Regions from separate parts of the Mus musculus genome. Here all the other regions are reported to be linked to region 1. Evidence: microRNA targets listed by miRTarBase, many of them from high-throughput screens and not tested one by one. Region 1 holds a microRNA gene; each other region holds the end of a gene's coding sequence.

Region 1 (7,832 bases):
TAGGGATGAGATACATGATGAAGGGGAAGAAAAGCTGCTTCCCAAATGGATGCTTGTTGTTTGGAGATGGGATGTTTGTTAAGGTCAAGATAAGATCCCCAGATTCAAGGCCTAGATCTGCCCTTGACTTCATGTATGACCTTGGGTAAGCCATTTCTAGGTTTTGAATCTCAGTTTCTTTACATCTTTAAAAAACGGGTTGGAGGCCAGATGTGGTGGTTCACACCCTTAATCGTAACACTCAGTAGGCAGAGGCAGGTATCAGTTGAGGCTAGTCTATATAGTGAGTTTCAGGCCAGTCCGGAATACATAGTGAGACCTTGTCTCAAAAAAAAAAAAAATCAAGAATGGTTTGAGGCTGGGACTGTAACCCAGTTGGTAGACTTCTTACCTAAATTGCACAAAGCTCTAGGTCCAAACCCCAGTGCTATATAAACAAGGCATGGTGGTAATATGCTTGTCTGTAATCCTAGATCTTAGGTGGTAATGGCAAGAGAATCAGAGGTTCAAGGTCATCATCAGCTACATTTTAAGTTTTGGGACATCCTGGGATATATAAGATACTGTCTTAAAAACAAAGAAAAAGTTCAGTTTATCTTTGAGGTACTCTCTCACACTGACCTTCAGTATTTTTGGACCCTCAAGTTGTCTAAGGAAGGAGCAAATGGCAAGACTATTATATTTAGACTGGAAGTTATAGAGTATGAAAAGACTAAAAGAAAAAAAAACATTTAAAGTACAAAACCACAAAGTATACAATGTTATTGGCATTTATCGGTATTTCCCACTATAAGTATTTTGTCCTATTGTTCCTGGGGAACAGTTGAAATGTCTTGGGAAACACAATTTTCATTGTTTCAGTTATATCTCCTAAATTGTTCATTCAACCAGCGAGGGCATCACCAAGTTTTTTGTTTTTTGGGTTTTTTTTGTTTTGTTTTTGTTTTGTTTTGTTTTTTAACAGGGACCAGTGTCAAATTTTTGTTTAAGGAAATATGGTCACCATAACTCTGTACCACTCGCCTTATCTTCTTTCAAGGTTGTTCTCATATGTGACAAGTTTTCTGTCTGTGTAATAAATGTTCAAGGAAATGGAAACTGATTAATATAATCTGTTGGGATCATTTATTATTCCCATCTGACATGTGTTTGGGAATATAAAAGAGTCATTCTTCTAGATAGGTATTACATGTATTGTGATTGCGATGGATGAAGAACCCAGTAGGTTCTTTTGCTATAACATTCTGGAGGTAGAGGGCAGAAGAAACTGGGCAGCAGGAGAAATTAGCAGTGGAAGCAGGAAGGCAGGAATTTCAAATATCCATTGTTTGGTGTAGCCTCTGCTGATAGTGAGTGGGGGACCAGCAGGTTTGGACTTAAGTAAAGGAACAGGCAAGCTGTGTCTGCCTGAACATTTGTGTCTAGCCCTGACCTCTCTCCCAGGCCAGAAAATAATTTTAAAATGTGTATTCTAATGCTGAGTCTGGCATTTGAAACATATTTTCTTCTCCTAAGATCTGTTCTTTTCCTGAATTCACTGTTCATGTTACTGGCATTACTATTTTCCTCTTATCACTATAAATGATAAAAATGGCATTTACATTTTTTCTCCATTGCCCTGATAAATCTAGTGGGTTGCTAACTCATGATACCAATCCTTCACCCATATTGCACTTCTGTACTTTTTATTAGGCCTCCATGACTTCTCATTGCAAACGCTGTGATTAACCCTTACCTGGTTTGTTTTCTCCAAACTTTATCTACCCTAGTCAATTAAAACACAGAATCCCATGTAACCACTAGCATTCTTTTCTCCCAGTTGCTAGGCTAAGTGTATGGAGAGATGATGTTAGTTTTCAGCAGTACATATGCATCTTACTTTAAAAGGAGGGAAGAAGGGGTTGTTTTTCAAGAATATTTGGAGGCAATTTCAGGAGCTCATACTGGCTTAAGGAAATACTGTACCTCTGAACTTGAATGTTCAAGCAGGTCTGACACCTGAGTTCTCCCATGCCCATGGCAGACTTGTATTCTTCATTTCTTTCTGTGAACACTTAGAACTGCTAAGTGCTTTCTTTTGTTTTTTACCCCAGAGCCTCATCTGATCTTTCTCACAGATGTTGGGGACTCAGGGATTCCCCGTAGGTTTGAGTGTCTTCTCCCTCATTACTGGCCTTGGACTCTTCCCATAGCTGTGTTTCCATCACTCACATGGACTTGGCCATGTGGCAGCTTTGCGGATGGGCTCTTCAGCCATCTTCCACAAACCCAGGCCAAGAGGTGACATTCAATCTATCCTCAGTGTGTACCTCCATCCTGCCAAAGTTGTAAAACTGTCTGGGATTATAGTCCCTACCAGTTATGTGCACGAGGAGGCATTGATCAATTCCCTCATGATCTCATGGCACAGCAGGTAGAGCTCATGTGGTTTGCAACAGGAAAGCCAGACTGTAGCAACTAGCCTAGTGCTTGCTTCAGGCTCAGAGCTCCTGAAACTCTCAAGTCATAAGGCTTGGGAAGTTCACTAGGTATTTTGGAACCCATCCCAAACACAATTAAATATGCAGGCAAAGGGGGAAAGAATACTTAGAATACAAATGGTCTAGCTTAATGAGGGTTATGGGGTGACCTGTCCAACTGGTGTTCCCATCCCAGTCACTACAGCTCTGCCATCTTCTCAGTGAGTCTGCTGGAGTCAGGCTTGTCTGTGTCTAGGGGCAGCTCTAGTGGGCTTGCCCAGTATCCCAGGCATGTGCAACACTTCCACCTAACTCAAACCACATGCAGAAGATCATGTCGTACTTGGCGCATAACCAATTGAGAAAGGCATCAGAGGGTGTCCAGACTTTAGCTTGTTTGAACAAATGTTCAAAAAAACATTTCTGAAGGGATATTCCAGAAAAACATACCCGCTCAAGGTCTTAAAACAGATGTTAGGGCTCTAGGAATGGGTTGCTTTGCAGCTACTATTATCAAATACAATAAGGCAGGACCAAATCACTTTAAGGTTTGAACGAGGGTGTATGTTTAACTTTCTTTTACATCTTTATTGTCCGCCATGGGAGGATGTGTCAGAGGGCAGAACATAATACCAAGAGGCAACATGCTATTGTGATTCACTCTCTGGCACAAAAGTAAGGCAGGCAAAGGCTTTGACCCCTGACTGGCTTTGTGTGTTAACCTATCATAGTCTCACTTTGTTAAACTACAAAACTAATAGCAACAGGGCTAACTCTATTGTTTTGTCAAGAGAACTAAAAACTGCATTTAAAGAGAGTGTATACCATGTATTGAGCACTCAGCAAGTATAGCACCACTATCAACTCTATCACCAGCAGAGCTTTAATGTTTATTATTACTACTACTTTTATACTATTAGCACTGCTGCCACTGCTGCCACTAAGACAGGAAACAGGATCTATTGCCAAGTTAGATGATGAGCTGGAGAGGGCCTCAGCTTTGTTTTTCTAGCTTATAGAGAAGGTAAGCATGCTGAGAAAGAAGATCACAGGATTATAATTCTGGATTGAAAGGAAAAGAATGAGAACAGTACAGAGTTCTTGTAGTTTATTTTCCTCATCTCAGACCAAAGCTCTACTATCCTTCATTAGTTTGCTGTATAACCTAGTTGAAATCACTTTAGATAATGGATCACTGGATCCTCTTGAAAGTAAAACCCCGTGGCACTTGTTTGCTGGCAAGTTGACCTGTATAAGAGGATAGTCTGTGACTGGAATGTGTATGAGCAACTGGTCCAAAACAGGCAAGGCAATAACTTCTAATTCTTATCAGCGAACCAGCTCACAATCCAGGTGTATGCTATAACCACCACCAGAATCATTTTTAGCTACTGACCAACAGTGATATCCTGGGCTCACTCCTAGAAGGGAAACTTTCTATATAACCATCAACTTTGTCGTGGTATCTATTTTATTATGTTGGAGATATGACCCCAGGAACTTGTATATGCTAGGCAAGTACTCTATTACAGAACAATATCCCAAGATATATCTGTAATAACTCTTTAGTGAACTTTATCCATCTATCCATACATCCATCATCACCTCCCCTACAACCATCCATTTACCATTCAACAGATATTGTTAAGCAATGACAACATCCAAAACATGGCTATAGGTGCTAGGAATAAGGCAGTGAACTGCTGTCATGAAGCTTACAGTCTAGCTGCCTCATCTGGACAAACACAGTGTATCATGAAAGTTCACTGGAAAAGTTTAGTCTAGATTTTTGAAACAAATGTTAGCCAGTACTTTTCAAAAACTGGACATGACTTTAGGGTGCTTGGGTGGAGAATGAAAGACTGTCTCGCATCCAGCCTAAGTAAAGGTTCTCGGGGTGGCCTGGGACAGGGCTTTAGGAACAATGTGGCTGGATTTTTGATTTCTTTGATGAACCTGGTTGAATCAAATTGTGTAGTTACTATGCTGTATAGCTAAGTTTTAAAATGTGATAAGAAAACAATGTGATTTTGTTACTGTCTCACTCATAAACTGGCTCGGAAGGCAGTTAGTTCTCAAAGCAGCATTTTAAAACTATTCTGAACAATGGCAACATCAGAACACATTTTCAGGGGGACTGCTTCAGACAGTTCAGTACATATCTTGAGTGTACAGATCCTAATCTATTTAAAAATAAAAATAGCTAGTAGGCAATTTGTTCAAAAATAGTGCAAAGAAAGAAATGTAGACTTACATATTTTAATTCATTTTTGAAATATTTATGCATTATATGTTTGGATTTGTGATTGCTGTAAAATTAATTCACTTTAAAAATAATGAAAGGAATTTTCCTTGGCATTTTTCTTCAGTCAGTTGATGCATTGTCTTCTGCATGTGACTCTTCAACGTGAACAGCCCAGCTACTTAGCCATTGTCTAAGTTTTATGTAAAAGTCAATCTTCCCATTACATGGCAGGCCTGCAGAAATGCTGCCTTCTGCTTTGAAGCCAGTGTATGATCAAATTTAAGTTAACTGGTTATTTCTCTTGCAGCGGAATGTTAAATCAGGAATTGTAAACAATTCCTAGGCAATGTGTATAATGTTGGTAAGTCATTCCTAGAAATTGTTCACAATGCCTGTAACATATATTCAGCTAGCAAGATTCCTGAAATACATAGGAAGCCTTCAAGAAGCTAACTGTACATTCCTAGAACATCTCTGGATCATGACATTTGTTTTTGTAATCAATTCTACTTATTTATTTGTTAATGTGTCTAGGTGTTAATAATTCTGATAATAGCACTACTACTTGATTTCCATAGTTCCCAAGGGTATCTGCATTATTTGATAGTACTTTGGTGATGCAGGGTTTTAGACATGCTAATTTTAAGAGGCATTAGAAATAAAAAAATCAATAATTAGGAGCAAAGGCAATTGTACTTCTTAGGTGAGCCAAAGCCCTAAACTTTCTTACTCCTTTACAAAAGCTTTAACTAAAGCTTCATTGCCTTTCTCCAACCTCACTTCCAAACAAATTTTGATATTCTAATTCCATAAGTCATGGGAAAGAAACAATAATATCTATCAACCTTACTGTCATGATTTTTTACCTTACCCTGTTCACTTATATGTTAATATGTTGATGTTTGCATAGTCATTATTTAATATGTATACTTGATTACTATTTATAGTTATCTATTTTCATTTACTATTTTGAAATGATCTGCCTACTGGTTTATATCAGCATAGCTGTGGGTTGTATCTTTTCTTAAATCAATTTAGAAATGAAAACAAAATGTTGAATGAGTTTTGAATGAGTTTTGGCCTTGAGTGTTATGATCATATCAAGCCACTGGTTGGGTTTCTTTGCATGTAGACAGTTAAGTGGATTCCCTTGACTTCTATTTGACTAGTGGAAATGGACCATCCTGGCAGCCCACTCAGATGAAGCCAAGAAATGAGCTGGCTATGCGGGCTTTGGATCAAGAAATATCAAAAGTATGGACAAAGTCTTTTGACAATTGATTTCAGCATCTGTACTGGTATACATTGGCTGATATAGTAATATACAGCTGAGCAATATTTTAAATGGTCCTCAGTTTGGTTAGATGATGACACTCAACCCCAGTCTCATCCCTACTGTATTCAGACATGACCCATTTCCCAAGGCCCAACGCATTTCTGTCTGTCAAAGTCCATCTAGTTGTTTTGGTCCTCTCTGGTGTATCTTCTTTTAATGCTTCTATTCACTTAAGTCCATTTTGCCTTTCAAACTGAATTGCAATGATCTATGTACTGTGTAATTTTCAAGAATGCCTTACACTTATGGTGACCATATTTTCTAACCAAAAATTAGAATATATCTTCTGAAAATTTAGGTAGGCTATTTGAAATTAGCTGTCCTTGGGAAAACATATGCTTATTCACTTCAGTGTCTCCTACCCATTGAACAGTCAGCATTGGGTATGACAATAGGAAGATAAAGACTGTAGATAACATTCACTAAGTTGCAAGTAAAAGGAATGGATGTTTTTGGAGTGTCTTGTATAGGCAGGCATAGCTTAAGTGCTTTGTTACTGTGCCTTAGGAATAACATATTGGTCCAGAAAATAAAAATAATAGAAGAAATGAAGAGGGACAACAAAAATACCCATAGTGGGAGACATAGTGGAAGGATTGTATCATACAATGCAGCAGGTAAGGGAAGTCTAAAAAGAGGAGGCCTTGTCAGAAAGACAAATACAGAAGTTCTTTGCTATATTTCTTAAAGGTATGATTAGACAGATTTTTCAACATCTCTGTGTACTGCTGATCTTTTTACCTTTACTCCTCAGATTCTGCCAATGCTTGGATTACAGGAGATGCTCCACCCCCACAAGTACAAGTGTGGGTTTAACAGCTTCGAGTAGAATATAAACACTGGCTCACTACTGAACATTATGTTATTGTTCAGGCAACCCAACTTTACATTTTGAAGGTTTTGTGTTTCATCTTGAACTCAGAATGAAAGACCTGGACCTTCATCTTCACAGTCCTTGATGTTTCATAGGGAATCTCTCCAGTCATGCTGCTATACTCTTTGAACCATACATGAGGTTTGATATGTAGAACAAGCATTTTGGAATTAAGCAAAAATATTTGAGGCAGAAATTTAGCTTCCAAAGACAAAGCTGTTTCTTGGGCTGTCTGACATGCAAAAAAGTGATGGAACATTCTTTTATATCTTTAGGCATTTTTTTTCTACTTGCCACACCTCTGTCCCTAATTTGAACCTTCAAATATACCTTGCTTATGTCATATTGACAGGGACTGCAATCTTCTGCCTGCAGTTTCCCTATACCTCTTTGCCATGAGCTGTAGATTTCTTTCCTTCTGAGCCTGTTCAAAACCATGGAACAATATACTGTCATTCCTTTTCTCCCTGAAAATGAAAAGGTAGCACTGCCAGATGATGCCAAAAAGATGGGAATGTTAACTTTGGGATGTGGGTAGATTACTTACAGGATCAGTAAGGATAAGCATGTTAAAGTAAATACTCCAAGGCTTTTTACCAGAGGCTCATCCCTTCTGATGTGTCATTAGAAGGATGAGTCACGAGAAATTACTGTAGCATGATTGAGTATTACTGAATTCCTAATCAAAGTCCAGCTGGGAAGACCAGCTGAAGGGAACTGGCCCATGCTAGCATCCAAGAAAGCTGTGGATTTGGCAGGGTGAAGAACTTCTTGGCTATGGAGGAATGAATCAGGGTTAACAAAATGTTATGCATGGTTTTACCAAAAGGCTAGCACTGTATATATGGCAGGCCTGTTGTCTTCTAGTGCTCTCTGACTGGTAGGTAAGACAAAGCAAGATCAACACCTGAAGCTTTT
Region 2 (7,832 bases), not on the chromosome of region 1:
GAGCCCTGACACGCAGTCAGGGGTGAGTTCTCTGACAGTGGCCTTGGATGCCCACTGGGAAAGATATCTCAGCTAGGTGACAGGCCAGGGGCTGGTTTGAATGCGCTGGGTTTCCTCTGCTTCCCAAAAGCAGATTCTAATTCCATCCTGATCAATGGGAAAGAGAAGAGTATTTCATGTGGGGACTGGCCTGAGCAAGTGCATTCATTCAAACTGATTACCAAAGGGCGGGAGGCTGTAATGAGCTAGGTGAAGCGGGGAGGTGGGACTGGGAAGATGCCATCGGTACAAAGCAGATTGTGGGCTTCTCTCACCTGTGGTCCATCTAGGGATCTGAGGCGGTCTGTATTCTGCCAACTTCCAGATTGGGTAAGTGCTAAACACTGAAATTAGAACCATGTTTAAGACCTTAGTTTTAGCTCTAGATCTGACCGTCAGAGAGAATTCTAATAAATAGGAAAATGTCTACAATTCGTTGCCTTGCTTTGCTCCACCTCAGACTATTGGATAAGCCTGGTAGAAGGAATGCATACTTCTGGAGGGTGGAGAGTTTCTTGAGTTCCTGGCAGCAGACTCTGGACTCAACACGGATAACATGGGACAGGGGGCTTCCTCCTCTGACCACATCCCCTCATGCTGGTTTCTGCATGCCGTTCTGTGTCCCTAGAGGTCAACAGTCTGGGAAGTTGGCACGACAGAGCTGGATGTGACCCTCAGGAGAGAATGGTGCTGGACTCGGGGACACAGGTGTATGAGCAGGCACCCCCCAGGCCCCCTGCCGGTTCCCCATCTCAGCACCATAAGCTGAAGCCCTCAAACGGAAATGGGCCACCCCTGTACCCCTGGCCTGAGTCCCTGGGGATGCCCTTGGCTCTGGCAGTCCCTTCAGCACTGCAGCAGCAGACTATGTGGCAGACCTTCTCAAAGCTGCACTTGGAGCAGAGTAGCCACATGCGTCGCAGCGAGAGCACCTACAGTGTAAATAGTACTGGCCGGCGGGGGCGTGGTAAAGCCCCGATTGGACGGGGATGCGATCCAGGAGGGACCCTACGGCCTGCAGCCTCCTTACCTCACATTGCTAAGATTCGAAAGGATGTAGGCAGTAGTAGCAGCAAGAGCCCCTGTATGTTGGTGGCCCTGCGGCCAACTAACATGGACCAGGAACGGGAAAAGTTCTTCCAGTCTCATTATACCTACAATCCACAGTTCGAGTATCAGGAACCGATGCCAATGAGTGTGCTGGAGAAGTACCAGGAGGCCTCTGCGCAATTCATGAATCAGGTCAGCTCCCCCTGCCCATTTCACCCTGGCCCTGACTACCCAAGGGACCTAGCCTGACTAGTGACTGTGGCCCTGTGTACAGGCAGTTGGCATCATTGAGGCTGTCCTGGAGAAGTTTGGCACTTATGAAAACTTTGAGGCTGCCACAGGGGGCCAGCTGCTGACCAAGTGCCAAATTTGGTCCACCGTGCGCAAATACATGCAGAAGGAAGGCTGTGTTGGGGAGGTAAGTTTGCCCTATCTACAAGACCCATCCTCTGTGTGCCCCAAATCAGGTCACCTAGCTCATAGACCCCTACACGTCTGGCCAGCTCTAATTCCCCAGACATGTCCCTGCCCCAGTCCCAGAGAAGTAAAAGCCAGCTTTGAAGGGTGGGTACCCTAGCCAGCGCCCGGCCTGTAGCACTGGGTGTCAGGGCTTGGAAACCGTGACTCAGGGATCCCTGTCACCCTGTAGATTGTGGTACAGCTGAGTGAAGATCTACTGTCCCAGGCTGTGATGATGGTGGAGAACAGCCGACCCACACTGGCCATCAACTTGACTGGAGCCCGCCAGTACTGGTTGGAGGGCATGCTGCGGCACGAGATAGGTCAGGCTGTGGGTGGCCTTTGGGTGGGTGGGTAGGATTGAAAGGTATGGAGAGATGGGGGTAGGGTAGTGGGGGGTCTCAGTAGTCCCCTTCTTTCTCCCCCTTCCTTCCCTCTGGAAGAAGACAGGCTTATTCATCCCTAAGCAGACACCTCTTCCTTTGCATTAGCAAACATGCCTGCCCACTCTGTAGGCTGACCTTCATCTTCTTTTTTTGAGACTATCTCCAATTCTTCTTCTTCTTCTTCTTCTTCTTCTTCTTCTTCTTCTTCTTCTTCTTCTTCTTCTTCTTCTTCTTCTTCTTCCTCTTCCTCTTCCTCTTCCTCTTCTTCTTCTTCTTCCTCCCCCTCCCCCTCCTCCCCCTCCCCCTCCTCCCCCTCCTCCCCCTCCTCTCCCTCCCCTCTCCCCCCTCCCCCCTCCCCCTCTCCCTCTCCTTTTTCTTAAGATTTACTTATTTTATATATGTGAGTACACTGTAGCTGTCTTCAGACACACTAGACAAGTGCATCGGATCCCATTACAGATGATTGTGAGCCACCATGTGCTTGCTGGGAATTGGACTCAGGACCTCTGGAAGAGCAGTCAGTGCTCTAAACCGCTGAGCCATCTCTCCAGCCCCTATCTCCCAATTCTTTTCTGATTTTCCTTTGACAGTGAAGGAGTTCTAAGGGGCCAAAAAAAGAATCCTGTGGGCTTCCACTAGACCAGCCCACCAGTTCCACCTGGGTGGGTGGCAGACTAGAGCCTAGAAATGGTATTGCTTGCAGATGCATAGATAAAAGAAGACAGACCAGGCTAGGAAGGCAAGCACAAGACACTAGTTACTCTGTCCTCCCCAGACAGGAATCTTGTTGCTCTGGGCAAAAAGTGGTTTTTGATTGGAGCATTTGAATGACTGTCAAGATGATTGGCTCGGGCATTAGGATGTTGGGAAGCGGGCAGGTGCTTAGTATCTGTGAGGGCTGGGGCACACAGAATGAACTGGGACGAAGGAGATGAGAACGTAAGTAGAGAAGAGCTTGCCCTGAACCAAGAAGTTGTCTGGAGTAGGCTGCGAATGGATTTAGGTAGGGCTTGGGATGACTTGTAGGGTGTGAATTTTGGGGCGGGGCACGAGGATCTAAGAGTCTCTACTAGAGGTCCTTGGAGTGAGTTCTCCGCCCCCTCCTCCTCCTCCTCCCTGCAGGCACCCACTACCTGCGTGGTGTGAATAATTCGCGGCAACCGTGGCACAGCACTGAAGGCAGATTGCAGTACGGCCTTCAGCCAGCCAACCCTACTGAGGAGGGCCTGGCTAGCCTGCATAGTGTGCTGTTTCGAAAGCAACCATTCCTGTGGCGCGCCGCCCTGCTCTACTACACCATCCACCAGGCGGCGCACATGTCCTTCCGCCAGCTCTTCCAGGATCTGGCGCAGTACGTGCAGGACGAGGGTGTACGCTGGGAGTACTGCGTCCGTGCCAAGCGAGGACAGACGGATACCTCCCAGCCAGGTGGGAACTGTGGAGTCGCAAGAATGCTCAAGCTGGCGCAAGGTGAAGGGTGGCTTTTGGGTAAGGCTCGATTGGTTATCCTTCTCACAGGCTGCTTCAGCAAGGACCAGGTGTACCTGGATGGCATTTTGCGCATCCTACGGCACCGGCACACCATTGATTTCCAGCTGCTGACCTCGCTGGGCAAGGTAAAGGGCCGAAAGGCCCAGCCAGCTCTTTCTTCTTTAGAGTTATGTTTGGTGAAGGCCTCGACACTTGGGAAGGCAGACAAAATGAGACAAAGTTTTGGTAGCACAGATCAGGTGTGTGACCTAGCCTGCAGATGTGTACATAGGTGTTAAGGGAGGTGAGCACTCCAAGGCAGGGAGAGGTCAAGAAGTTCTGGGGAAGAAGGTGGGAGAAATGGCCAGGGACCAAAGCCCAGGTCTTGTACCAGGTTGAGGCAAACCTCGATAGAAGCAAAGGGGGGGGGGGAGTATCGTAAATGTGTGGGCATGGATTTTCTTTAAAAGGCTCCAACTGAATGTTCTGTGGGAAGTGCAGGAAATGGAAGACCTAGATAGGCAAGAGAAGGAGGTCTTCCATCACTCTTACAGAATTGATAATGGCAAAGCTATAAACTACAGATAAAAGAACTGTTGGACTCCCTGAATGGGGAAATGAGAACCTAGTCGGCCTTTCTTGGACCTGATTGTGGTGACTATGCAGAGGGGAGGACAGACAGCTGACATTCAACAGTCTCCTGTTGGATGTGGGAGATAACCCGAGAGAGAGACCCAGGTATCAGTTGGATACCATTTAGAGGTGAGGAGATAAGGTGGGCTGGAGAGGAATGGGTTGTACAACGTAGATAAAAGATAGAGAGAGAAAGATAGAAGATCCAGGGCAGAGCCTGAAGGTATCTATTGTAGGAGTCGATGAAGAATATACACAATCATCTCAGGAGCAAATGGCCCTGAGCCATGGGTAGATCCTGGACTTGAAAGCCAGGCACTTTGATTAGCTCTGAGGCTCAGTTTGCTTCCTATAGGTCTCCTATGAAGACGTGGAACAACTGCGGCCCTACGGGGTGCTAGACAATACCAGAGTGCCCCACTTCATGAAGGACTTGGAACGTTACCGGCAGCAGCTGGAACACATCATGACCACCAACCGGCTGGATGAAGCGGAGCTGGGCCGCCTGCTGCCTGACTGATGTTGACTAAGGGTTATAGACAGACGCTCTTGACAGAGGTCACAGATCGGAATATGAAGTTCTTTATGGTTCCATAGCCTAGGTGTTTCTTGGGGGCATTTGGGAGGCCAGGAGCATCGTGGGCAGATGAGAAGCAACGTTAGAAGGTTTTTGTCCTTGCTACCCTTCCTGGGGCCTGTGAACTGCAGCAGCATGTCACATAAACTCCTGAGCAGGGGAGATGGGAGGGCGATGAGATGGGAGCTGAGTGTGAATAGAAATGTGGGTTGGTTTGGGAATAGAAACTTGTTCCTGCATGAGATGGCTTTGGGTGTCTGGTACCACTCCTTCCCTTCCCCCTACCTGGCCGATTGGTGCTCCTTCTACACTCATACCTCTACCTCTCACTGGGGCCAGCAGGAGTTGGGAACCCCTCTGAGGTGATTTGCCTGAGCATGGGGTTCCGGCTGTCACTCAGGCTCAGAGACCCAGCTGGGCTGGGCTTTGCCTTTCAGCATTCTGTCTGTCTCACTGGTCATGCATTGTTCCATAGTCGCCCTCATGGGGTCATTTCATGCCTCCAGGCGGGGCCCGGAAGTAGTAGTAGTAGTAGTAGTAGTAGTAGTAGTAGTAGTAGTAGTAGTTCCATGTAGGGGCAGGATCCTTTGGAAAAGTACCGTATGTTCCTAGACCCCTTCCTTCCTTCCTTCCTTCCTTCCTTCTTTCCTTCCTTCCTTCCTTCCTTCCTTCCTTCCTTCCTTCCTTCCCTCTCCCTCTCTCCCTCTTCCTTCCTTCCTTCCTCCCTCTCTCCCTCTTCCTTCCTTCCTTCCTTCCTTCCTTCCTTCCTTCCTTCCTCCCTCCCTCCCTCTCCCTCTCTCTCTCTCTCTTCCTTCCTTCCTTCCTTCCTTCCTTCCTTCCTTCCTTCTTTTCTTTCAAAGACTTATTTATTTTATGTATACGAGTACACTGTAGCTGTCTTCAGACACACTAGAAGAGGGCATCAGATTCCATTACAGATGGTTGTGAGCCGCCATGTGGTTGCTGGGAGTAGAACTCAGGACCTCTGGGAAAGCAGTCAGTGCTCTTAACCACTGAGCCATCTCTCCAGCCCCCTAGACCCCCTTTCTTATCACTCACACAGACACACTGTGTCTTGTGTCTTGTGAGTCCAGCACCTGGTCCCACCCTCAGTCCCCATGTTAGTCTTGGTTGTGCCTGTCTTTAACCACAGCCTCACAGCTGGTCTCTGGCAGTGGTTAGGACAGGCGGGAGCAACCACAATCAAACCTACAGGGCAGGCCCTAGGGTTTGTTATCCCACGTTCAGGCCAGGATTAGTACAGAGCTGGTTAAGGCTTTCATTTCACTTCAGATTCAGCGGTGGGAGAGTGAGCTAGTACTGTCCTAACCCTGGCTTTTCAGTTAATGTTTCCATCTGTGAAGCTTGGAAACACAGCTGGGAAGTTTGTATTCATTTACTTAGTAGATATGTGCAGAGCTCCTTGTGTATGTCTGTGACTGGTTAGACCCCACGCCCCTCACTGAGCTCCCAGTTCAGAGGAAAGCCAGACAATTAAACAGCAGTTACAATGATGTGTGTGGCTTCTGTCTACTCAAGTTTCCTCTCAGGTCCTCCCTGCAAGACTGTGAGCGCCAAGACTTCTCTCCATGTGTGGATGGACATCCCCCTTCACTTGCTTGGTACACCAAGCCGAGTGATTTCCATGGATTAGAAGTGTTGCCCACTCGGCCTCCCAAATGGCCCCTGAGGGGAATAAAGTGGGTGAGGGAGGGTCAGATTTGGGGGCCTGCATCTGAGATCTCCAGAATTACAGCTTGGGCTCTTTGGGAAGTGGAATGTTTTTGAGGGGATGGGGGTATTTTCACACAAGCCTGCTCAGGTCAGTGGGATTCAGACCCACGCTCACCCTCAGTTCTTGAGCAAAGAGCCAGACTTGTGGAGAGTCAGGAACAGACTGACCCTCCTGAGTTTATTCATTTGGCAGTAGGTGTCTCGGTGCATCGATGGGGTCAAGCTCTGGCAGGTTTCCAGGTCTTATCCAGCACAAATAGGATTGGACAGCTAAGGATTCTGGCCTTCAGGAATCTGGAGATGAAAATGATGGTTAGTGGAATAGGGATCAACCCCCCCCCCCCACACACACACACTTTGCAGTCCACAACCCGTAACAAGCCTGCAAGCAAGGGTTTAGGCGCTCTCACAACCTTCAGATTCATCCTCTTCTTGGAAGTCGGGCTCGGGTTCGGGTTCCGGCTCGGGCTCGGGTTCTGGCTCGGGCTCGGGTTCCGGCTCGGGCTCGGGTTCGGGTTCTGGCTCGGGCTCCGGCTCCGGCTCTTGTTCTGGATTCATTTCTTGTTCCAGGTCTGGCTCATCCCCTTCAGTAGCTTCAGCTTCTAGTTCTGGCTCCTCTGGAGTTCGAGGCTGCAGTGCCTCAGAGCCCTCAGGACCTCCGACCTCCTCTTGCTCTGACGCTCTTGGCAGCTCAGGACATGTGGTCCCTGAACTGGGTGCTTCTGGCGTCCAGTGGCCTGGGCATGAAGGGTCATAGCTGCGGTTCCGGTAGCCTGGGAAGGAAGAGGGAGTACTTGAGGTTCAGTTCACCCCTCTGTGGTTACCTCCAAATTCTCTGCCCTCCATTTACCCTTTGCTTCGCCCTGCCCCTAATCCACGCCCTTCGATTCATCAAGGCTCCACCCTCTTGGTGCTCACCGGGCCCCACGTGCTGCCAATCCCAGGCCGGGTCTGGCATGCGCACTGTTTGCTGGGCACAGCGCAGTAGCTCCTGGCAGGCTGCCTCGCCCTTGCTCTGCACCAACAGCAGTAGGCGGCGCACCCTGCGCTCTGCATCGGGCAGCGCATCCAAGGCTTCGTACTCGGGCCCAGTGAGGACGCCCCGGGCCACCAGCGCATCCAGCAGCAGCCCAGAGTCAGCCTGCAATGTCTCTACCAGCCGTTTCCGTTCCCGGTCAATGGTCTCTGATGGGCGCTCCTGCACGTTGCCCATTTCTGCTGTGTCAAGAAGGAGAGAAGGGGGCGGGGCGTAATTTGCGTTACTCTACGCTGACCAGGAGTTATCTAAGTTCACCTCAACATCAGAGTCTGGATGGTTGCTCAGCGCAAGACCTAGAGGCCAGGGGCCCAGAACGCACCCTCCAGCTTCTTGGCTGCTTCTGTCCTGATTCCTCAGGTTTCTTTTGCAGACTCCACCTGTCAGTGGAGTGCTCTTCCCAGCTAGGACCTCCCTCCCTCCTAAGCCCCAGACACCTGCACAGTTG
Region 3 (7,832 bases), not on the chromosome of region 1:
CTCGGGAGTCAGACACGGTTAACTTAACGTGGATGCTCTGTTTTCTCAGGCTCCCGGACCTCTGCGTGTTAAAGAGACGAGCACGCACATCACTGTAAGCGGCGGCGGCGGCGGCGGCGCCCTGGTCGAATTAGAATTTAAATACTCTGAGCACCATGACACTGAGACTTCTAGAAGACTGGTGCAGAGGGATGGATATGAATCCTCGGAAAGCACTATTGGTTGCCGGCATCCCTCCGACCTGCGGAGTGGCAGACATAGAGGAGGCCCTGCAGGCTGGCCTTGCTCCCTTAGGGGAACACAGACTGCTTGGGAGGATGTTCAGGAGGGATGAGAACAAGAATGTAGCCCTGATTGGGCTTACAGTAGAGACTGGCAGTGCCCTGGTCCCCAAGGAAATACCTGCAAAAGGAGGTGTCTGGAGAGTGATCTTTAAGCCTCCTGATACTGATAGTGACTTTTTGTGCAGATTAAATGAGTTTTTAAAGGGGGAGGGCATGACGATGGGTGAATTAACCAGAGTTCTTGGGAATCGGAATGACCCTCTCGGCCTAGACCCGGGCATAATGATCCCTGAAATTCGAGCACCCATGTTAGCACAGGCATTAAATGAGGCCCTTAAGCCTACCCTGCAGTATCTGAGGTACAAAAAGCTGAGTGTGTTCTCAGGCAGGGATCCTCCAGGACCAGGTGAGGAAGAATTTGAATCTTGGATGTTTCATACTTCCCAAGTAATGAAAACATGGCAGGTGTCAGATGTAGAGAAAAGAAGGCGGTTGATAGAGAGCCTTAGAGGTCCAGCATTTGAAATTATTCGAGTCCTCAAGATAAACAACCCCTTCATTACAGTTGCAGAATGCCTGAAGACGCTTGAGACAATATTTGGGATTATTGATAATCCTAGAGCATTGCAGGTCAAATACCTTACTACTTATCAGAAGACTGATGAAAAGCTGTCTGCCTATGTTCTAAGGTTGGAGCCTTTATTGCAGAAACTGGTTCAGAAAGGAGCAATTGAGAAAGAAGTTGTGAATCAGGCCCGTCTAGACCAAGTCATTGCTGGGGCAGTCCACAAATCAGTTCGAAGAGAGCTTGGGCTGCCGGAGGGTAGCCCAGCCCCAGGCTTACTGCAGTTGCTGACACTGATAAAAGATAAGGAGGCCGAAGAAGAAGAGGTCCTCCTTCAGGCCGAATTAGAAGGCTATTGCACTTGACCCAAGACCCAAGGCTGTCATGAGCAGAACAAGATGGAAGAGCTCATTGCAGAGATCAGCCCATCCACTCTTTATGCTGCCAAAGTAACTCGCCCTTTGTCGTGTTGTTTACTGAATGTCTCCCCAATGTTTTACTGATAAAAATGATGTCATTCTACACTGATAATTATTTAAATCAAAAGACCATTCTGCTAGTACAGTGTCCCAGCAAGTCAAAAGTTTATATGCATGTTTAATAGTCATATGTGATGGTGCTATCAGTTATCAATAGTTTTCAGGTGTTGCCCACATTTATGCTGAAGACCCTGAGCCAAGGCTGGTTAAGATATTTAGTTTCTTTTATTAAAATCAGTTATCGATTCTGTGCAATCAAAAAGCACAACTGAATGCTGTGGTCAGTTCTACAACTAGTTTTAGGTTTGTGACTATCTGATATGTTGCCAAAACGTCTGCTTCTAAATATCATTTTCTTGGAGTAATAAAGAAATGATAATAAAATATTTGATCTTTGTATACATTGTAATACTACATTTGAAGGAAAATAATTTTTTGGCTTTGTTTTTAAGACAGTTTCTCTGTGCAGCTTTAGCTGTGCTGGAACCCACTCTATAGACCCAGGGTAGTCTCAAACTCAGAAATGTGCCTCCTGAGTGCTGGAATTAAAGGCCTGCACAACTACACTAGGCTGAACAAAAGTTTTTATAGTGTGAATCTGAAAGCCACTGAAATTACAGACTTAGTTCTTTGAACTCTTGGCACCTAGGGGATAGGAACTTGCTTGTTTGACAGGAACCAGACTATAAACAGATTGTGGCGAGTAGTAGGCCCATCAATATTGAATTTTGAGGGAGAAAGGGAAGATGAAGGTTTGTGTTTTTCCAACCCTGGTGCTACACACCTATAACCCCAGTGCTTAACAAGTAAAGCCAAAGTCAGGAAGACTGGCCTCTCAAGGCCAGCCAGAACTACAGAGGGAGGCCCTACCTCCAAAGAGAAAACTACATACAGGGAAACTAAGATCACCTGGGAAATGGATGTATGCCCAAGACGAAGCAGGCAGTAATGAGAGCTGTTCTGGTTCTTGCAAAGCTGCTGTTCTCTCTACTAAGGGAGGGAACTACACAAAGAATCAAGGCCAGACTGTCACCGTGTGTACATGTAGTCTTGGGAGTGTGATAGATTACTCTGAGTTAGGAATACATGGAAAGTTTCCTTATGTTCTCCACTGCAGAATGGCATGTGGACTCTTGAGAGCTGTGATTCTGCTCATGTTTGTATAGTGGCTTAAGATACATTATGCACTGTCCTGCAGGTCACTCATTTGCTGCCTCGGTGAGAAACTTTACATTTTGTATAGACACACAAGCATTAATAAATGCCACGCCTCTTCTGTATGTGAGACCCTAAGCTGAGGGGGTAAACTCGACAGGATAATCCCTGCTTTGAAGGTTTATTCAGACTCAGTATTAATGGCTGACATTGGATGTATCCTTGGCCAGCGACTAAGTACTAGCTGAAGAAGAAGCTGTCTCTTCCCACCTCCCATTTTATGAATAAGATGAGGCACAGAAAAATAACTTGTCTGTGGTTTTACAGGTAGTAATGTGGCTAGCCCCTGGCTCCAGGTCTTTTTATTCTGGGTAGATCATAGGCTCAGAGATCTTTAGGTGCTGGTCTTTGACGCATATATATATATATATATCCCATAACATTTGGCAGTGGTGGCAACAGACAGGTGGAGAAGAGTGCCACCTAGTGTTATAGCTCTAGGGGCCTAGGATGCTAGACCCTTAATTAAGCATTATAGATCTTGTGGAAGCCTCTAGTAACCCCACCCTTTGCTCTAAAATACTAAGTTATTGGGTAGACCTCATTACAAGTATTATAGCTGTTGTATAGACTTGGGAAGTTATTATTCCTTCGCCTTGCCAGTGTTAAATCGTACAGGTCTCGGGGTGTCTGAGACTTGTAAAAATCACAGAAGCTCTCTGAAACCTCCAGTGACAAGGGCCTGCTGGTTTTCATTTCCAGCTCTTTACAGCCTTCTCTCCTTTATCTCTGCCTCTTCGGTTGTCACAACAGCCAGCCACACAGCCATTTTCCAGCTCTGCCTGCCACTCCACTGTCTGCTGTTGCTGCCACTCTCCTGGCTTTATATTGCCATCTTAGCCTCACAACTAAGAAGTAAGCTAGAAATAGGAAAGGAGGGCTGGAGAGGTGGCTCCTCGGGTAAGAGCACCGACTGCTCTTCCAGAGGTCCTGAGTTCAAATCCCAGCAACCACATGGTGGCTCACAACCATCTGTAATGGGATCTGATGCTGCCTTCTGGTGTGACTGAAAACAGTTACAGTGTACTCATAAATAAAATAAATCTTTTTAAAAAATGGCAAGGAAACACTACTGGAGAGAATCTTTTATTGGGGAGGCAGCACAAGAGGTTATCTCCTGGGGCTGGTGAGATGGCTCAGGGGTTAAGAGTGTGACTGCTCTTCCAAAGGTCCTGAGTTCAAATCCCAGCAACCATATGGTGGCTCACAACCATCCTTAACGAAATTGGATGCCTCTTCTGGAGTGTCTGAAGACAGCTACAGTGTACTTACATATAGTAAATACAATAAATAAATAAATTTAAAAAAAAAAAGAGGTTATCTCCTAGCTGACAAAGTGAGCTCAACAGCCTATGAAGGCTAAGGAAGGGTGTTTGTGCCACTTTGAGAAAAACTTATATGTAAATGAAGAATTGTGTTTGCACCAATCACAGCCTTGTCTGAACACTAGCATCGCAGTCACTGCTAAGCTATCAGACAAACTCTCCTTCCTTGAAAATGGTTGCAAGGTCATCTAGGATTCACTGACGTTGTGCTAGCAAACATCTAGTAGAAGCTGACTTAGGCCTGGCAGAGGCTGTGCCTTGGGGAGCTGCAGTTGTGTCGTTTCAAGGTGTTCACACAGTGTTCCAAACAGTGATGTCATACAGATAGCTGGCTGGCTTTTGACAGCCCGCTTGCTCAAAGCAGCCAACAGTGGGTAAGTCCAGCAGCTGGTGATTGAGAAGTCAAATTGCCCCGTCAGCAGGAGTGCTTACAGTTTTGAAAGAAGAACAACTTATTAGCAGTGATTTTAGCCAAGCTCTAATAATGTTTAATTCCTGATGAGTGTTCCCACGGTCTCCTTTATCAAAGTGACAGGCCAGGATTTACATCGAGCCTGTCCATTGCCAGTCCTTGATCGTCATAAAGATTGATTTGTTTTTAATATTAGGTGGGTATGTGTGCGCATCATATTCATGCAGTGCCTGTGGAAGCCAGAACAGAGAGTGGTGGATTCCCCTGAGGCAGGAGTCAGACCGGTGTGAGTCATCATATGAATGCTAGAAACCGAACCCAGAACCTGTGCAAGAACAGTAAATGCCCTTCACTGTTGAGCCATCATTTCCTTGGCCCCCAGAGTCCCTTGTTCTTAAGCTGTTCTAGGTTAGCTTGTTAACTTCTCACAGGAGCCTGTCAAAAAAAATACAAAAACAAAAAAACAGTGTCCATTCTACAGACAGGAAGCTTAAGGTTCAAGAAGATTCAGTGCCACCGGGCAGTGGTGGCGCATGCCTTTAATCCCAGCACTCGGGAGGCAGAGGCAGGCGGATTTCTGAGTTCGAGGCCAGCCTGGTCTACAGAGTGAGTTCCAAGACAGCCAGGGCTACACAGAGAAACCCTGTCTCAAAAAACCAAAAAATAAAAAAAAAATTAAAAATCAATTCTAGATAATATAAATGTTTGCTTCCATGCACAAAAGCCATAAGAAAATCATGTAACTCTGGAACTGGAGTTACACAAGATTATTTGCAGCCATGAACGTGCTCAGAAGGGTCCTCTACCTGCTGCAGCAAATCCTCTTACCTGCTGAGCCACCTCTCCAGCCCACAGTCAGCTTTTCTTATGGTCTTCTGCATGCATCTGGTGAATACTATGTAATTGAGGAAACTAAAAGGATTTTTTTATTGGTTTATAAATTGAAAATAATAAAAGCACATATGCGCCCTTTAAACAGCCATGTTGAAACAATGGCACTAAAATGTCACATTGACATACTAGGACTTGAAGGGGAATTTCTTTTTGTTTAAGAAAGAAACTCTCGGGGGCTGGTGAGATGGCTGCTCTTCCGAAGGTCCAGAGTTCAAATCCCAGCAACCACATGGTGGCTCACAACCATCTGTAACAAGATCTGACTCCCTCTTCTGGTGTGTCTGAAGACAGCTACAGTGTACTTACATATAATAATAAATAAATCTTTAAAAAAAAAAGAAAGAAAGAAACTCTCAAAGAAATGAAAAGAAGGTGGTATTTCCATAGCCAGGGGACTTCCGGGAAGAGCTTCCTCACAGCCACAGAGTAAGCACCATAGTGTTAGTTCTAACCCAAAGTAAATTCCTGGGAGTTGATGTCGATGTAAATAACGATTGAATAAATATGGGAGAAAAGATGAATCTTTACAGAAGAATGTCAGATAATTCATGTGGCTGCTTTACCCTCTAGGAACTGTGTAAGTTACTTTCTGCTCCTGTGTTGAAAGAAAGAGGGCTTTTTTGTTTGTTTGTTTTTTGTTTAGGGCTCTGTTTTCTTGTTTGTTTTGTTTTGTTTTGTTTTGAAGACAGGGTTTCTCTGAGTAGCCCTGGCTGTCCTGGAACTTGCTCTTTCTGTACACCAGGCTAGCCTCGAATTTACAGAGATTTGCCTGCCTCTACCTCTCAAGAGCTGGGATCAAAGATGTATACTACCACTGCCCAGTTTTTGGTTTGGTTTTGTTTTGTTTCCTTTTTTTTTTTTTTTTTTTTTTTTGGTTTTTTTTCCAGACAGGGTTTCTCTGTGTAGCTCTGGCTGTCCTGGAACTCACTTTGTACACCAGGCTGGCCTCAAACTGAACTCAGAAATCCACCTGCCCCTGCCTCCAGAGTGCTGGGATCAAAGGCGTGCGCCACCACGCCCGGCTTGTTTGTTTCTTATATTGTTTTTTTGTTGTTGATTTTGTTTTGTTTTGGCTTACCGTTCCAGGGGCAAAGTCCATGATGGCAGGAAGGCTATGACATCAGGCTGCCAGATCAGGAAGCTGGCTGGTCACAGTTTATCATTCAGGAAGCCTGGAAAGCTAACTGGAAGGGGGGTAAGGCTATAAACTCTCAAAATAGGTCCCAGTGAGCAAAGTTCCCCAGTATTCCTCCAGAGAGTGCCACCATCTGCGGAACAAGTGCGCATGCGGAGCCCTTGGGAGATGTCTGCCATTTAAGCCACCCCGGAAGCAGCATTTGTCATGCTGCTTCCTTTTCCCTTTGCAGGTAGGCTCACCTTGGTGACATCTTTCTAAGGATGAGCTTGTGGAAAGGGACAGGAATAACTTTCCTTGGAAAGACCTGGCAGATGCCACATTAGCATCAATGGTGTCACTGTGAAGCCGTCTGGACCCCAGGTGCAATGGGATAAAGCCAGGCTAATTAGGAGAAATACACCATAGAAGCCCAATTGAAAACATTTTCTTCAAGGACTGAAAAACTCAGGCTGAAGAGATGGCTCAGTAGTTAAGAGCACTGACTGTTCTTCCAGAGGTCCTGAGTTCAATTCCCAGCAACCACATGGTGGCTCACAACCATCTGCAATGGGATCTGATGCCCTCTTCTGGTGTGTCTATACATAAAATAAATCATTTTTTTTTTTAAGTAATAAAGCAGAACCCACAGAAGAAGGCCGCTTTTCTAGCTTGCTTTCCATGACTGGCTTAGCTTGCATTTTTATACAACCCAGAGGGCCACCTGTTCAGGGGTGACACCACAATGGGCTGGGTCTTCATTAATTATCAGTCATAAAACTGCCCCTACAGACTGGCCTATAGGCCAAACTCAAGGGGGCATCTTCTCTCTGGAGGTTCCCTCTTCCCAGATGACTCCAGCTGTGTCAAGTTCACAAAAGCCTAACCAGCATTCTGTATAGCACTAACTAGCACTGTGCCATGTTTTTTCTTCAGATGGCACAAATGCACAGCCCTAAAGTAATGGTAGGGTGTAAGGTACCCTGGAGTCAAATAGTATGTAAACACAAAAAGTGTTTTATGCTGCAGAAGTCCAGCATGCTGGGGTCTCCCATTACCAAGATAAACACCCGATTGAGCTTGAAGGCATATTATGGGAATTCTGGAATAGGTGATCTTATCTTGTTCTATCTCTTAGAGACATTCCAAAACCATTATGGGGCATGGGAGCCGGAAACTGTTGCCGACCCATTGTCCTTGCTTCAGGCCAGGTGACAGACGGCAGTTTCTGACTAGCTGCCTCAAGCCTGGGTTTTCAGGCCTAATCTCTTGAACTGCCAGTTTGAAGCCTGTCATAGAGTCAGCCTGTCTCATCAAGGGAAGGGAAGTGAGTATGCAGGAACTCTGCACTGGCTCTGTGACTTCTCTGTAAAGTTTAAAACATAAGTAAAATTGTTCACACCCATTAAGTCCTTACATGCACATAACAAGCACAGATGCCACCAATCACTGGAGAGGGAATCATAGGAGTGCCCACCTTTCCAAAGCTATGCATTTAATCACCACTAAAATGATACAGAGCACTGGCTAGATCCAGACCAGTC

What was found. The annotated mature microRNA mmu-miR-384-3p reads AUUCCUAGAAAUUGUUCACAAU and lies in region 1 at 5,073-5,094, shown strand. An mRNA with a match to its seed (bases 2 to 7 or 8) in the 3' UTR can be bound and repressed. Matches are read on the target gene's strand: a 7mer-m8 pairs with bases 2 to 8, a 7mer-A1 pairs with bases 2 to 7 and ends in A, and an 8mer does both.
Region 2: the mRNA of Nol3 is a reported target of mmu-miR-384-3p. Seed matches in the 3' UTR shown: 7mer-m8 at 5,220-5,226.
Region 3: miRTarBase lists Moap1 as a target of mmu-miR-384-3p. Seed matches in the 3' UTR shown: 7mer-A1 at 3,411-3,417.

The regions. Positions count from the first base shown.
Region 1 is chrX:105,341,554-105,349,385 of GRCm38, reverse strand. Mir384 (microRNA 384) reads left to right here and starts at 5,017; the gene lies at 5,017-5,104.
Region 2 is chr8:105,278,705-105,286,536 of GRCm38, reverse strand. It overlaps Nol3 (nucleolar protein 3 (apoptosis repressor with CARD domain)), which reads right to left. Exons shown (of 4, transcript NM_030152.4): 2 at 7,267-7,563; 3 at 6,762-7,121; 4 at 4,598-6,642. The coding sequence starts at 7,561. The coding sequence ends at 6,635. 4931428F04Rik (RIKEN cDNA 4931428F04 gene) reads left to right here. Exons shown (of 8, transcript NM_028888.2): 3 at 668-1,281; 4 at 1,364-1,507; 5 at 1,739-1,871; 6 at 3,057-3,362; 7 at 3,453-3,550; 8 at 4,393-6,128. The coding sequence starts at 724. The coding sequence ends at 4,557. Among named protein-coding and RNA genes, the nearest start is that of Nol3, 6.2 kb to the right of the region's middle.
Region 3 is chr12:102,735,612-102,743,443 of GRCm38, reverse strand. Moap1 (modulator of apoptosis 1) reads left to right here. Exons shown (of 2, transcript NM_001142937.2): 2 at 50-3,614. The coding sequence starts at 156. The coding sequence ends at 1,214. Gm20604 (predicted gene 20604) reads left to right here. Exons shown (of 2, transcript NM_001142939.1): 2 at 50-3,614. The coding sequence ends at 72. Among named protein-coding and RNA genes, the nearest start is that of Moap1, 4.1 kb to the left of the region's middle.